3 linked regions of the Daphnia pulex genome follow. The protein of the gene in region 2 interacts with the protein of the main gene of each other region in a biochemical or structural test. Links are inferred from orthologs where the notes say so. Each region holds a gene or a part of one and is shown on either strand. Other genes may lie near its edges.

Region 1 (3,740 bases), on a different chromosome or scaffold from region 2:
AATCTGAATTTGTAGCGTCAAAGATGGTTCGTTCTGGAATTCCGTAGAAACCATCGCAAAGGAATTGTCTTTAATGATGAATGAAAGCAGTTAGGAAATTAATAAGATACATTTAGATTCATGAAAACATTTTAAATCAAGGATCTAGTCGCCTACATTTGTATTTTCTCTGAATTGGTCCAAATTCAGGATAATATTCCGCTGTATTTCTAATTCAAAGGTTACGTCAATCCCAACAGTCCCAAGATTCGAATATTGAAATTATTAGTTACAATTGTAAAAGGAAACTACCACGATATTTGCACTTTTTGACGTTTGTGTTACGCCATCAGTTTTTCTTTTTCGTCTTTCGAACTTGGCACAGTTTGGAGCGAAGTGAACTAACACCGTTACGTCGGTTAATGGACTAGAGCTTTACCTTTTTTGCCGTTTAGCCATCTTTCTAACCCAAGAGCCCATGGAAAAATACTTTTTATCAACAAGACTTTTTTTATCAAGCCGTAAGATTAAGGTCACGCGGGTAAATGAATAGTTTGTACTGATAGCAGTTCAGCTATAGTGGCAGCATGACGTACGAAAAAGTTGACGTTGTATTTCTGGTTACTTCGATCGTACATTTGGAAAAGAAAACTCGAAGACAGGGAATATAACTCGGGGCGTTCATGGAAACTTAAAAACAATGCCGAGCGTGCAAAAAACTCGAAGACCATAATGCAAATGAAAATGAGTAAATGAACGAAAAATGAGGGATTGTTGTGACGTGGGAGGATACGGAGAAGTAAGACAAGTTTCGCGTGGTTCAGTATTTTAGTTAAAACCAGCTTAATAGCATTTTAAGACATCGAAATTTGAGGATTTTAACTATTTATTCGGTTGCGTCTTTCTCTTTGACGTCACCGTCGTCATTGTCGTTGGCGTTGCTATGCCATGTCAGGCGCTCTTCATAAAACTGAATCACGACCTGTGGACATTGCTTGTTGGCTTGGCGGGCTGGAACTAGATCTGCTTCATCGCTGGATTTCCTGTAAGATTTAAAAATAATCAAAAAAAAACGTGTTAATTAAGATGCTGTAACTTGTGATACAATAGCATATGACATTGAACAACTTTTTGTTTTACTATACGAACCATTTCATAAGAAACATGAGTTCGCCACTAGAATCTGTGGCGCCGATAATCTTTTCGGGGTCAAGTCCTCGTTCAAACCCTCTTGGACGATTTTCTTCCTGGAAGTCACAAATAAAACGTATAAATGATCATAACCAAAGCCAACTTATTGTCGTGAAATTCCACAAACCTCCGAAGTCTTCTTCTTTGCTGGTCTTTTTTCTTCTGTGGTTTTTTTGTCACGTTCTTCAATTGGGAGTGAACGCTTTTTCTCTTTTTTGTCAATTTCTTTCTTTTTTTCCTTTTCCTTTTCTTTTCTTTTTTCCTCAAATTCTGAAATCAAAGCAGGGCAGTCTAGGTTTTCCTCAGGTTCCCAGGTATTGTCATCATCATCGTAGCCTTTCCACTTTAGGAGATATTCAACTCGGCCATTTCGTACTCTGAATTTGATAGATGACATTTGTTGGTCAATAATGATCAACGACAATATAAATATTTATATATACCTTCTATCCATAACTTTTTCAACAGAGTATTCCTCTTCAGCAGGACTTTCTGTTGCTGGAGTAGCAGGAGTTTGTTCATCCAAAACTTCTTTCTCTTTCCCTTTTGTGCTTCGGCCCATGTTGGAAATTGTGTAGCTTTTTTCACAAATACTAATTTCTAAAAGAGCTGACTTATCTGCAAATAAACAGATAAAAAGATTATATATCACGGCCACAGTGGAGTCTGATCACACGAGAAATAGACATTTTTGTTGAGGGGATTAATCACGAGCTTGGTTACATAGACGTTTCTCACCGCCACAATCGAATATAATAAATATAATAGATTATTTTGGCATGGGCAAATGATATGAAATAAGTGTAGTTTTCTGGGCATTCAAAAATATTTTGTGGCTGATGGAACCAAACTCAATTACCTTAACTTAATTCGCGTGATAAAAAACGTTGAAAAGTCTGTAACAAACCGACAAGAAATGCGTTTAGTAGGAAACCATGACTCTAAGGGGAAAAAAGGAGAGCGAGAAAAGGGCGCCAAATTTGCACTTAATAAAAAAAATAAAATAATTATTGATAAAAATATTAAGTGGTCCAAAAGATACAAGAACAAATTCTAAATTTTTCCAGCTATTTATTCTAGTTGTTTTTATAAAACATAATCAAATTAGAAGAAAAAAATAATAAAATAAATACTGATTGCTGTTGGGAAATCGTACAACTTGGCAACGTTGCAATCGAGACAAAATTTGGCAACATTGTTCCTTCCCTTCCGACTTTGCTGGATGACGCTTTGATCAAAGCATAAGAAGAAGAAGTGAGCAATCCCGGCGTACTTGTGTTACACGTTGGTTAGTCGAAAAATGAAATCCGAAACCGAAGAACAACAGCAGCAACAGCCTGAGCCGGTCGTTGAAGAAGAAGAACGAGAAACTAAACCACCAGCAACAGAACAACACACCGTTAAGGTTAGATTTTGCTTTATTAATAAATAAAATTGCTGATGATGGAACCCCTAGTTTTGCGACCCTTGACGTATTGTGAAACGTAGTTTTAAGTTCCTTGTTTATTTAAATGACACAAACATTCTATTTGATTTGTAGGAGAAACCTGAAGCTGAGCAGTTTCGAAAGTTGTTCATTGGTGGACTTGACTATCGCACAACTGATGAATCCCTGAAAAAACATTTTGAACAATGGGGCCAGATTGTGGATGTTGTTGTAATGAAGGACCCCAAGACGAGGAAGTAAGTTGATACCAGTCTTTCATACCTTGGAATGCTATTTTGATAAAGTGTTCTTAATGTTAAAATGAAAATTAATTTGGGGTAATGATTCTTTCAGGTCTCGTGGTTTTGGATTTGTAACATATGCCCGAGCTTTCATGGTAGATGAAGCCCAAGCAGCAAGACCTCACAGAGTAGATGGCAGAGAGGTTGAGCCAAAGCGTGCTGTCCCTAGAGATGTTAGTTTGTCTTACTATTGATTCTATTCTAAATATTTGTCTAACATTTTCTTAAATAGTTGATAGGCAAACCTGAAGCAAGCTCAACTGTCAAAAAACTTTTTGTTGGTGGTCTGAGGGATGATGTTGAAGAAGAGGACTTGCAAAAGTACTTTTCAACATTTGGTCCAATCGCCTCAGTGAATGTTGTTACAGAAAAAGAAACCAACAAGAAAAGAGGTTTTGCATTTGTTGAATTTGATGATTATGATCCAGTTGACAAAGTTGTTTGTAAGTACATGGCCTACATTTTTCTGGTATCTTGTAACTAAAAAAATCTTGTGTGTTCTAGTGATTCGTGACCACACTGTTAAAGGAAGACATTTAGATGTTAAAAAAGCTATCAGCAAAGCTGATATGGATAAGATGAAGCGTGGCGGTCCTTCTCCTGGATCGTCACCTTCAGGTCGTGGTGATTACCGCGGGTATCGAGATAGCGGCCGAGGTGACCGAAACGCCGACAGAGGCGGGGATTTGTGGGAACGACGGGATTCATGGAGCAACGGAGGAGGTTCTGGTGGGGGCTGGAGCAATGGAGATCATTGGGTTGGTGGAGGATCTAGTAGTTATCGAGGTAAGTTTTTAAATAAAATTGACTTATTATCACTTTTTAATCTATTTATCTACTCT
Region 2 (3,081 bases):
ACTTTTCTTTGCCAAAGTATCTTTCCAGAATTTAATTGGTACTGATTGTTCCAACTGAGTGTGTTCCTTACGCCTAATCTCCCACTCCCTCACTCACTCCCTACCCATAAAAACCCAGACAATTCTCACCTGATTGTTTCACCTTGTTCTTCCCGACAAGATCGACATATTGCGCATTATTATCACTTCACTGTCATTATCATGATGGTTTTCATTAATATTGTGGTGGTGTAGTTTGACAAGCAATTTTTATGTATGTTGATGAATTTCTTTTTTGGACAGAAGAGTTTTGCGTCAGTGTTATCGTTTTTTCTGAGGTTTGTTTCATTTATCGTGCAATATTACACAATCAGGCCGTTATTCGCGCTTGTTTAAAAGAAAAACAAAACATTCATTTTGTTTCTTTTTTAAAAATTCTTTTTGAAATGAATTAATACTATTTCTATACATTTCAGGTAGAATGAGGAGTGGCTCACTCATTAAGGAACTAAAACAGCAACATCTACGCAAAACGAGGTATATTTTGCCAAGAAAAATTGACAAGTACAAGGGAGGAAAATGCGAGACGAGACTTGAACATACATTCAGGTGAGATTTATTTACAGAAGAGATGATGCACGATGCACCCACAAGTCATTTGAATCGAATAGTGTTACCCATGTAAAGTGGAGCTACCATTAACATTGATAAGACGTAGGACAGCTATAGGAAAAAAAAAACATGGGACTAGGAAAAAACAAATTGCACATACTGATCAACGCGTAGCTACAAGGATTTTTTTCTACACGCACTTGTTTAGCAGGGGATCATTTCATTCCTAAAGTTGCTTGTCAACAACAAGTTCATTACGACGTAATCATGGTGATTAAAAATTAAGTAGGTGAGGGAACGGTAAACAATCGTTTCTTTTCTTCAACATTACCAAATTGAGTTCATTAACGTTTCGTAGGTAATAAAAACCAACTTGCAGGTATGATAGAGCACAAATGGAAGTGGGGAGTAGGTGGCAAAATTTTGAGTAGTGTTGAATCCAAATGGCATATTGCAAGTCAACAATAGTTCATTATGTAAAACTTTGAACGAAGGTAAGACAAAGTATAACGGGAAGAGTAATAATGAATGGCATTTGGGAGAGCGCATGCATAAGTTGGCAGCAACTAGAAATTTGTTTTTTTATTACTAACGTTGGGAGTGCTGGTAGCCATTTTCGAGTTCTTGAAGTTGCAGGCTACGCCGATATTCTTCTACTGTTCGGTGAATCGTCAACTGCGAGTACTTGCATTTCGGCGATTGGCACGAACACGTGAATGACTTATATTTGATAATCCAAAATTTGTCACCATAATCAAAAGCCAGCTCTTCATTGGCTTCAATATCTCGGACGGCGAAGAATGCGATGCGCGGAAACTTCAAATCCTGGTGGTCGACAAAAACTTTTACCGGAATTAAGTTAGGTTCACAAGAGTGGTTGATGAAGCGGGCTATATTGCCATAACGGCGGGCGTCGATGCAGTAAGTTTCTCCGTCCTATTAACAAATATTAATAGGTAAGATCATGCAGCAACTTTCGCTTAAGTACTTTTTCATTCATAAACTTACCTTGTTATCCAGATCGAAAAGATATGAATCATCCTCACGTTGATCAGCTTCAAAGTCTGTGATGATTTCGCCAATGTATCTACGAGATGAGATAAACAAGGTTATTATCTACGAAAATCACGACAAAGTTCGGGTGCACTTACTCGCAGACGTAGGATCCCATAGGAATGGGTTGAGCTGTTCGGACGCCCCAACCTTTGTTTTCGATGCGGAAAAGAACTAAACGCGAGGTAATTCCATGTTGAACTAAACGGTTGTTGCACGATCCCCGATGACACTGACATGCACGATTGCATTCGAACAACATTGGCGGATCTGTTGCAATAATTCTAAACGTGTTAGTAATTTTTAACATAGGCTACTTGTATCCAAGACTTGCCTGCGAAATTAAAGTCGGGCACCAGTTTGCCTTCTTCGTCGTACCAGCAACGAAAGCTGAGACTAGAACAGTTACAGTTGGTTGAGCAGTCACCAACACATTCGCAAAACTAGAATTAAATTTTGTTTAACTTATTTTTCTATTTAGTAGTTGTAATTTTAACAATACCGTTAGCGAGTTGATGGTTCTGTCGACATGTAGTGGACTCGTGAAGCAGTTTTCTGTGATGTAGATAAAGTCGTTAGGCTTAGGCTCATCGTCAAATCCATTTACACACTGAATCGGGTTGGCCTCTTTCCCTTTAGTGATGTCGCTGTAAAACAATTGAAGAATCCGTTGATTTAAGTCTTCTTTGAATATGTCTTGTACTGAATACTTGATCTTACTTTGAGAGGAATTTTTCAGAGTCACAATACGGCGTTTGAGTAAATGGCTGAAGTTTCATATTGACCGTCAACAATAAAGCCGAGTCACACCGCTTATCAGGACAAACCTCTAAAGCTAATTGATTCTCTTTATTCCTTAGATCGAAACGCCCGCCTCTATGTATCAGGAGCAAGGCGCATTCACAGTTATCTCGACGACTTGCCGTGTGCCTTTAATTGCACAATGTAACGATAAAGAAATCAACTCATCCTGAAAATGAAACAAAAATCAACTTACAGTGGAGTGTCGCCATGAACGTTGGCAGCATTCACTTCACATCCTTGGTCAAGTAGAAGGGCAACAATATCAACGGATCCAGAGAAAGCAGCCCAGTGCAAAGCAACGTTCTGCTCCGCGTCTCGCACATTAGGATTTGCCTTACATTGAAGTAAGTATCTAAAAGAAAAGTTATTTTATGTAGAATTGACCTCAGGTTCAGTAAATGTTTGATCATTACTTGACTATGTCTACTCGTCGATGTTCACAACCCCAGACTAGTGGTGTCCATCCTCCATCGTCTTGAACGTTGATGAAATTTTTGCCATTTCCGATTGTCATGATGTAATGGCAAGCTTCTAGATTGCCATTTTTGCATGCTAAGTGAAGCGCAGTCATCCCTCCTTCTCCCTGAAAAACGAAAGTACCCCCAAAGTTTAGAACAGGAATTAATAACTGTT
Region 3 (4,341 bases), on a different chromosome or scaffold from region 2:
CGCATACACGCAAACCTTTTAAGGATTAAATTTGAATGAACGAAAAGGTAAGGAAATGGTTGCTTACGTTGAACATATTGAAATATTATACTTGGACTTTGATGTCAGCTTCCACAGCATCCTTTCGTTTTCTTGTTGAAAGTATTTGAAATGGAAGAATTTGTTTCTTCTCTGTATCCCACGCTACAGCTTCGGTATCCAAAATAGCTGAGCGGACTGAAGCTGATGGTTCAATCCACGATTGAAAGCGACTGATTATGTCTGGATATTTGGAAGTGTTATTTTCCTGGTTTCTGCTGTAAATTCTGATTTCCCCGTTCTCGAGAAGATGTATCTGAGCTCTTTCGCCATCATATTTCCATTCGCAAGTAAACTTGGTAGATTCAAATTTTTGTAATACTTCTCCGACTCCTCGTGTGGGACACGCTAACATGGGTTTTAGTGGAACACCCGGAGTTAGTGTACAGTGTAGCGGGAGCGCTTCTACGCCTTCGCGTAAGAGAACTGGAATAATTTGATCGTAACTAGGGCATTGGCTGCAAGAAAGAAAATGATCGAGTTACATATTTGATATTACAAAAAGAAAAATATTCCATTATTGACACTGTTTCTCTTATAACGAAGGGCAACACTTAACAACAGCGCGAGTAAATGTAGTAACTTAATACCGATCTCAGATTTAATTAAATTATTTTTAAAACATTTCCAGTAAATATAAAATGAGATCTGGAGCCAATATTTACCAATATGCTGTCTTCAAAATAACCGCCGAAGCTTCCACTTTTGCTTTAATGGTTTCGCTACTAAGTCCCGCAAAACAATTCAACTGGGTAGGCGGTGTAGATTGGTTCGGAGGAGTTGCAGTAGCTGCAAAAGCTAAAGCTTGAAGTACTGATTGTTCAGCTAACCCAATACGAAGTTTTCCAGCAAGCGATCGGGTAATAAAACGTGATTCTAATTGCTTTGCAGCAACGAGTATTCCATGAATCTTATCAACTTTCTTTATTTGAGAACTATTTCCAGTCATCACGGCTACTTCTGTTAATTTAGTGAAAACGCTTTTCACAGTTAAACTCACTGGTCTGTAAACATAAATCATAACAAATTGATATAATCAAACCAAATAAATAATTAACATATTATATAAGTTTTAAGATTAAAAAAAAAAAAAAAAAAACATTACTTAAACATAGAAAGAGTCCTCTGTGTGCCTTTGGATGCCTCTGCTACCAACCCAACATCCCCTTTAGTAGCAACATCAGATTTAACTTTATCTGTTGCTCTTCCAGTAGCTTGTGCAATTGCTTTAATTATTATGCCTTCTCCTACACCAAGTTCTATACCTGCAAATCATTAAGCAAAATATAAAGTGGTGTAAAAAATTATTTTTGATTTTATGCTGGACTTACCCATGTATGCAGGGGCTAACTGATTTAAACATAGGTAAACAGAACATAGTAAATCATCTGGTGACAACAGGAAAACACTTCGGAAATAGTTAGCTAAAATCTCTATCATTTTTAACCTGGAACTGGTTTCTTCAATCTGGTAAACATTTCCATTAAATAAGGTATAATGTAGAATTTGTTAATTTTTAATTACTAATTCCAGTGTTTTAGCAAGAACCATGTAAGGGACATTTTCTCCCTTTTTCCATGTTGCATCTTGAATAGGATGATAATTTTGTTTCCCAGGATTATATGAATCAGGATTCAACAATTCAGTTACACCATCTTTTGAATCATGTGCATCTGAATTAAAAAAATTACCATTAAAACAATTATATTTAGGTAACACCATGAACACCTTTCTGTAATATATGTCTTATATCAAACCTTTGGTGGTTAGTGACACATTAGATTTTTTAATTTCAAGTTTCCCATTGAGAGGAGTTTCATTACTGGAAGGTAATTTTGAAGATTTAGTTGGGGATTTCACACTTTTCAAAAAAATATCTGCTTTTTTAAGCACAGCCGGTTTCTCAATCGCACTATCTGGTTCTGAATCTTCACTGCTGCTACTAACTGCACACTTTCTTCTCCTAAGTATAAGTAAGATAATAAATGAAAATGTGGGTTTGATACTGGAATGCTCATTATACTTTTTCCGAGAAACAGGTTCCTCATCGTCACTTTCAAGTTTCTTTACTTTCTTCTTAGCACTTTGAACTGGCTTGTCTGGTAAAGGACTGTTTTTTTCTCTAAAGAATTGCAAAAAATAAGGTTTTGGGTTTTTGTTTAACACATAAATGATCTACAGTGCTCATTACTTTTTCTGAGAAACAGGTTCCTCATCATCACTGTCAAGTTTCTTTATTACTTTCTTCTTAGCACTTTGAACTGCTGGCTTGTCTAGTAAAGAACTGTTTTTTTCCCTAATGAATTGCAAAAATAAGGTTTTGGGTTTTTGTTTAACACATAAATGATCTACAGTGCACAATCTACTAAAATTGAAAATAATTTCTTTTGTGGCATTGCATCTCAACAATCTGGAAAGCATAGTTTTTGTTTTTGCTACTCACGGTGACGATGTGTCGTCAGTACTCTTCTTTTCAATATTTTCCTCTTTTACTTCTTGCTTAACAGACGTTGCACGTGGTTTACCAAAAAAAGACCTATTCACGAACTTCAGAGGTAATAAACAAAATTTAATTTCAATCTATTAACAGAATTTTTACGTTATTAGACGCTGTCCTTGACCATCCATTTTTTCGTTGATGAATTGTGTTGTCTATTTTTCGCGCCTAGATCTACAAAAAAACAAAAGGTTGCCCCTATTGGAGGAGTCCAGACTCCAGACCCATCTGATGACAAAGTTGTAAAATACACCCTCGATCATCCGTGTTGGTTAGCCTTTTCTAGTGCAGCAACAGCTAATGAGCATTTGCTTGTTTAGTTTTAGCTGGTTTAGTGGATGTTGTAATTAAATGCAAGAACTCGGTCATGTATCTATATTTTGGCATTACGGTTGTTTGTTTCATCTTTCGATTCTGTAAATGATCCCAAATTACAGTGTTTTGGAAATAACTGAGTTTCAATACTAGATAGATGAAAGATGAAATCGCATCGAATAGGAATAGTTGCAGTAGTTTTTATTGCAGTAATGATGGGTTTCAATACTGCCCTTTCTACCACAATTTTCTTCATCTTCCTAGCAGCAAGGTCTGTAATATATATGCCAAATGTTCATTCAGTCTTATAATCAGCCAACCCTTGATGGATTTACAGTTTTTTCGTTGGTTTTTTTAATGAGACCCAATCAATAGTTTCTACAGACTTGTTGGATGTCTTCAGCATTCAATGTACAGCAGCGTCACAAAGCTTGCCTAAAATGGTAGTATAACAGTCAATAAAAAAGACAGAATGAAATTATTAAATTTAACTAATAATTATTAATTGATTCATTTTAGTCAACTAAACAGTCAGCTGGAGATAATAAAATAAGTGTGGATAAAAGACTTTCTGGCTCAAGTATAATTGATGATGCTGTGCAAGATGTGTTCCAATACATCATACGAGACTATGTTGAAAACTGGTACAGTTTAGTAACAAAAGAAACAGAGTTCCTGTTTGAATCAAAACAGTTTTTGCAAAAAATAGCAATCAATGCATCCAATAGGTATCAAAGTATTTTATTTGACACAATGACTTGTTTTGCTATATTTTTCTTCACATAGATGCAAAGAAGTTGATTGGCTTCCTTTTCTTACTACAAGATTTTTTGACAGTGTGATTGCTCACATACGTACATATCGCGAGGCAAAAAACAGATTAAACCAAAAGACTAGTAATGACGATTCTGCAAAAGGCATGAATCAAAATCTTGTCGCTACTTTTTTTGAACTTGAAAGATCTGGTACCAAAAAAAATTCAAGAAAAAGAATTTCAATGGATCCTTCTTATGAAAAAGGTTGAAGATATTTATTAATAATGAGTTGGCCTTTTAATTGATTTTTTTTGTCATATTTAAAGAGTGCTTAAAGATCCTTTCTGATTTCTTACTTCAACTACTTGGAAAGGAAGAATTAAACTGTCGCCCACTGAACTTGCTCTCTTCCCAGATACTAGCAGGTGAAATTATCATTCCACTGTTCGACCTGCTTTCAGATCCGGACTACATTAATCAAACTGTGATTTGGCTGGTACGATTTTATTACTGACATTCTTAGTTTCCTTTTGTAATCAGTTTTTACCCTTATAGTGTAAAAATTGTCAAATAACAAGTGATTCTTTCCTGTCCGTCATACGCTGCACGGAAAATTTTTCAGAATTAGATGCTTCCCAACAACTACTGACCAAAGAAATTGCGATAATGGTTAAATATTATATATTTTTGTACTTA

What was found.
Region 1: the proteins of histone-lysine N-methyltransferase EHMT2-like (region 2) and chromobox protein homolog 1-like form a complex in vitro, tested with the Homo sapiens proteins (2 studies listed by BioGRID). The link is inferred for Daphnia pulex from reciprocal best matches to the Homo sapiens genes EHMT2 and CBX1.
Region 3: of the proteins of histone-lysine N-methyltransferase EHMT2-like (region 2) and DNA ligase 1-like, one has a biochemical effect on the other in vitro, tested with the Homo sapiens proteins (3 studies listed by BioGRID). The link is inferred for Daphnia pulex from reciprocal best matches to the Homo sapiens genes EHMT2 and LIG1.

What each region holds. Positions count from the first base shown.
Region 1 is NC_060019.1:11,841,796-11,845,535, reverse strand, and holds chromobox protein homolog 1-like, read right to left. Parts: upstream 2,168-3,740; 5' UTR 2,030-2,167; intron 1,791-2,029; exon of another isoform or gene 1,789-1,790; 5' UTR 1,733-1,788; coding exon 1,614-1,732; intron 1,548-1,613; coding exon 1,298-1,547; intron 1,227-1,297; coding exon 1,129-1,226; intron 1,023-1,128; coding exon 866-1,022; 3' UTR 573-865; downstream 1-572. Other genes in the region: uncharacterized protein LOC124191317, read right to left, coding at 1-54; heterogeneous nuclear ribonucleoprotein A1, A2/B1 homolog, read left to right, coding at 2,471-2,575, 2,711-2,853, 2,951-3,071, 3,131-3,341, 3,403-3,684. UniProt on the Homo sapiens protein: Component of heterochromatin. Recognizes and binds histone H3 tails methylated at 'Lys-9', leading to epigenetic repression. Interaction with lamin B receptor (LBR) can contribute to the association of the heterochromatin with the inner nuclear membrane.
Region 2 is NC_060028.1:9,379,431-9,382,511, forward strand, and holds the end of histone-lysine N-methyltransferase EHMT2-like, read right to left. Parts: intron 3,032-3,081; coding exon 2,862-3,031; intron 2,801-2,861; coding exon 2,642-2,800; intron 2,575-2,641; coding exon 2,365-2,574; intron 2,292-2,364; coding exon 2,147-2,291; intron 2,088-2,146; coding exon 1,979-2,087; intron 1,915-1,978; coding exon 1,743-1,914; intron 1,679-1,742; coding exon 1,600-1,678; intron 1,528-1,599; coding exon 1,180-1,527; 3' UTR 504-1,179; downstream 1-503. UniProt on the Homo sapiens protein: Histone methyltransferase that specifically mono- and dimethylates 'Lys-9' of histone H3 (H3K9me1 and H3K9me2, respectively) in euchromatin.
Region 3 is NC_060017.1:4,260,859-4,265,199, reverse strand, and holds the start of DNA ligase 1-like, read right to left. Parts: upstream 2,804-4,341; 5' UTR 2,707-2,803; coding exon 2,678-2,706; intron 2,615-2,677; coding exon 2,522-2,614; intron 2,375-2,521; coding exon 2,270-2,374; intron 2,201-2,269; coding exon 2,102-2,200; intron 2,042-2,101; coding exon 1,836-2,041; intron 1,752-1,835; coding exon 1,603-1,751; intron 1,546-1,602; coding exon 1,410-1,545; intron 1,344-1,409; coding exon 1,184-1,343; intron 1,083-1,183; coding exon 744-1,082; intron 537-743; coding exon 92-536; intron 16-91; coding exon 1-15. Other genes in the region: sorting nexin-13-like, read left to right, coding at 3,055-3,161, 3,228-3,333, 3,410-3,618, 3,677-3,909, 3,972-4,141, 4,201-4,314.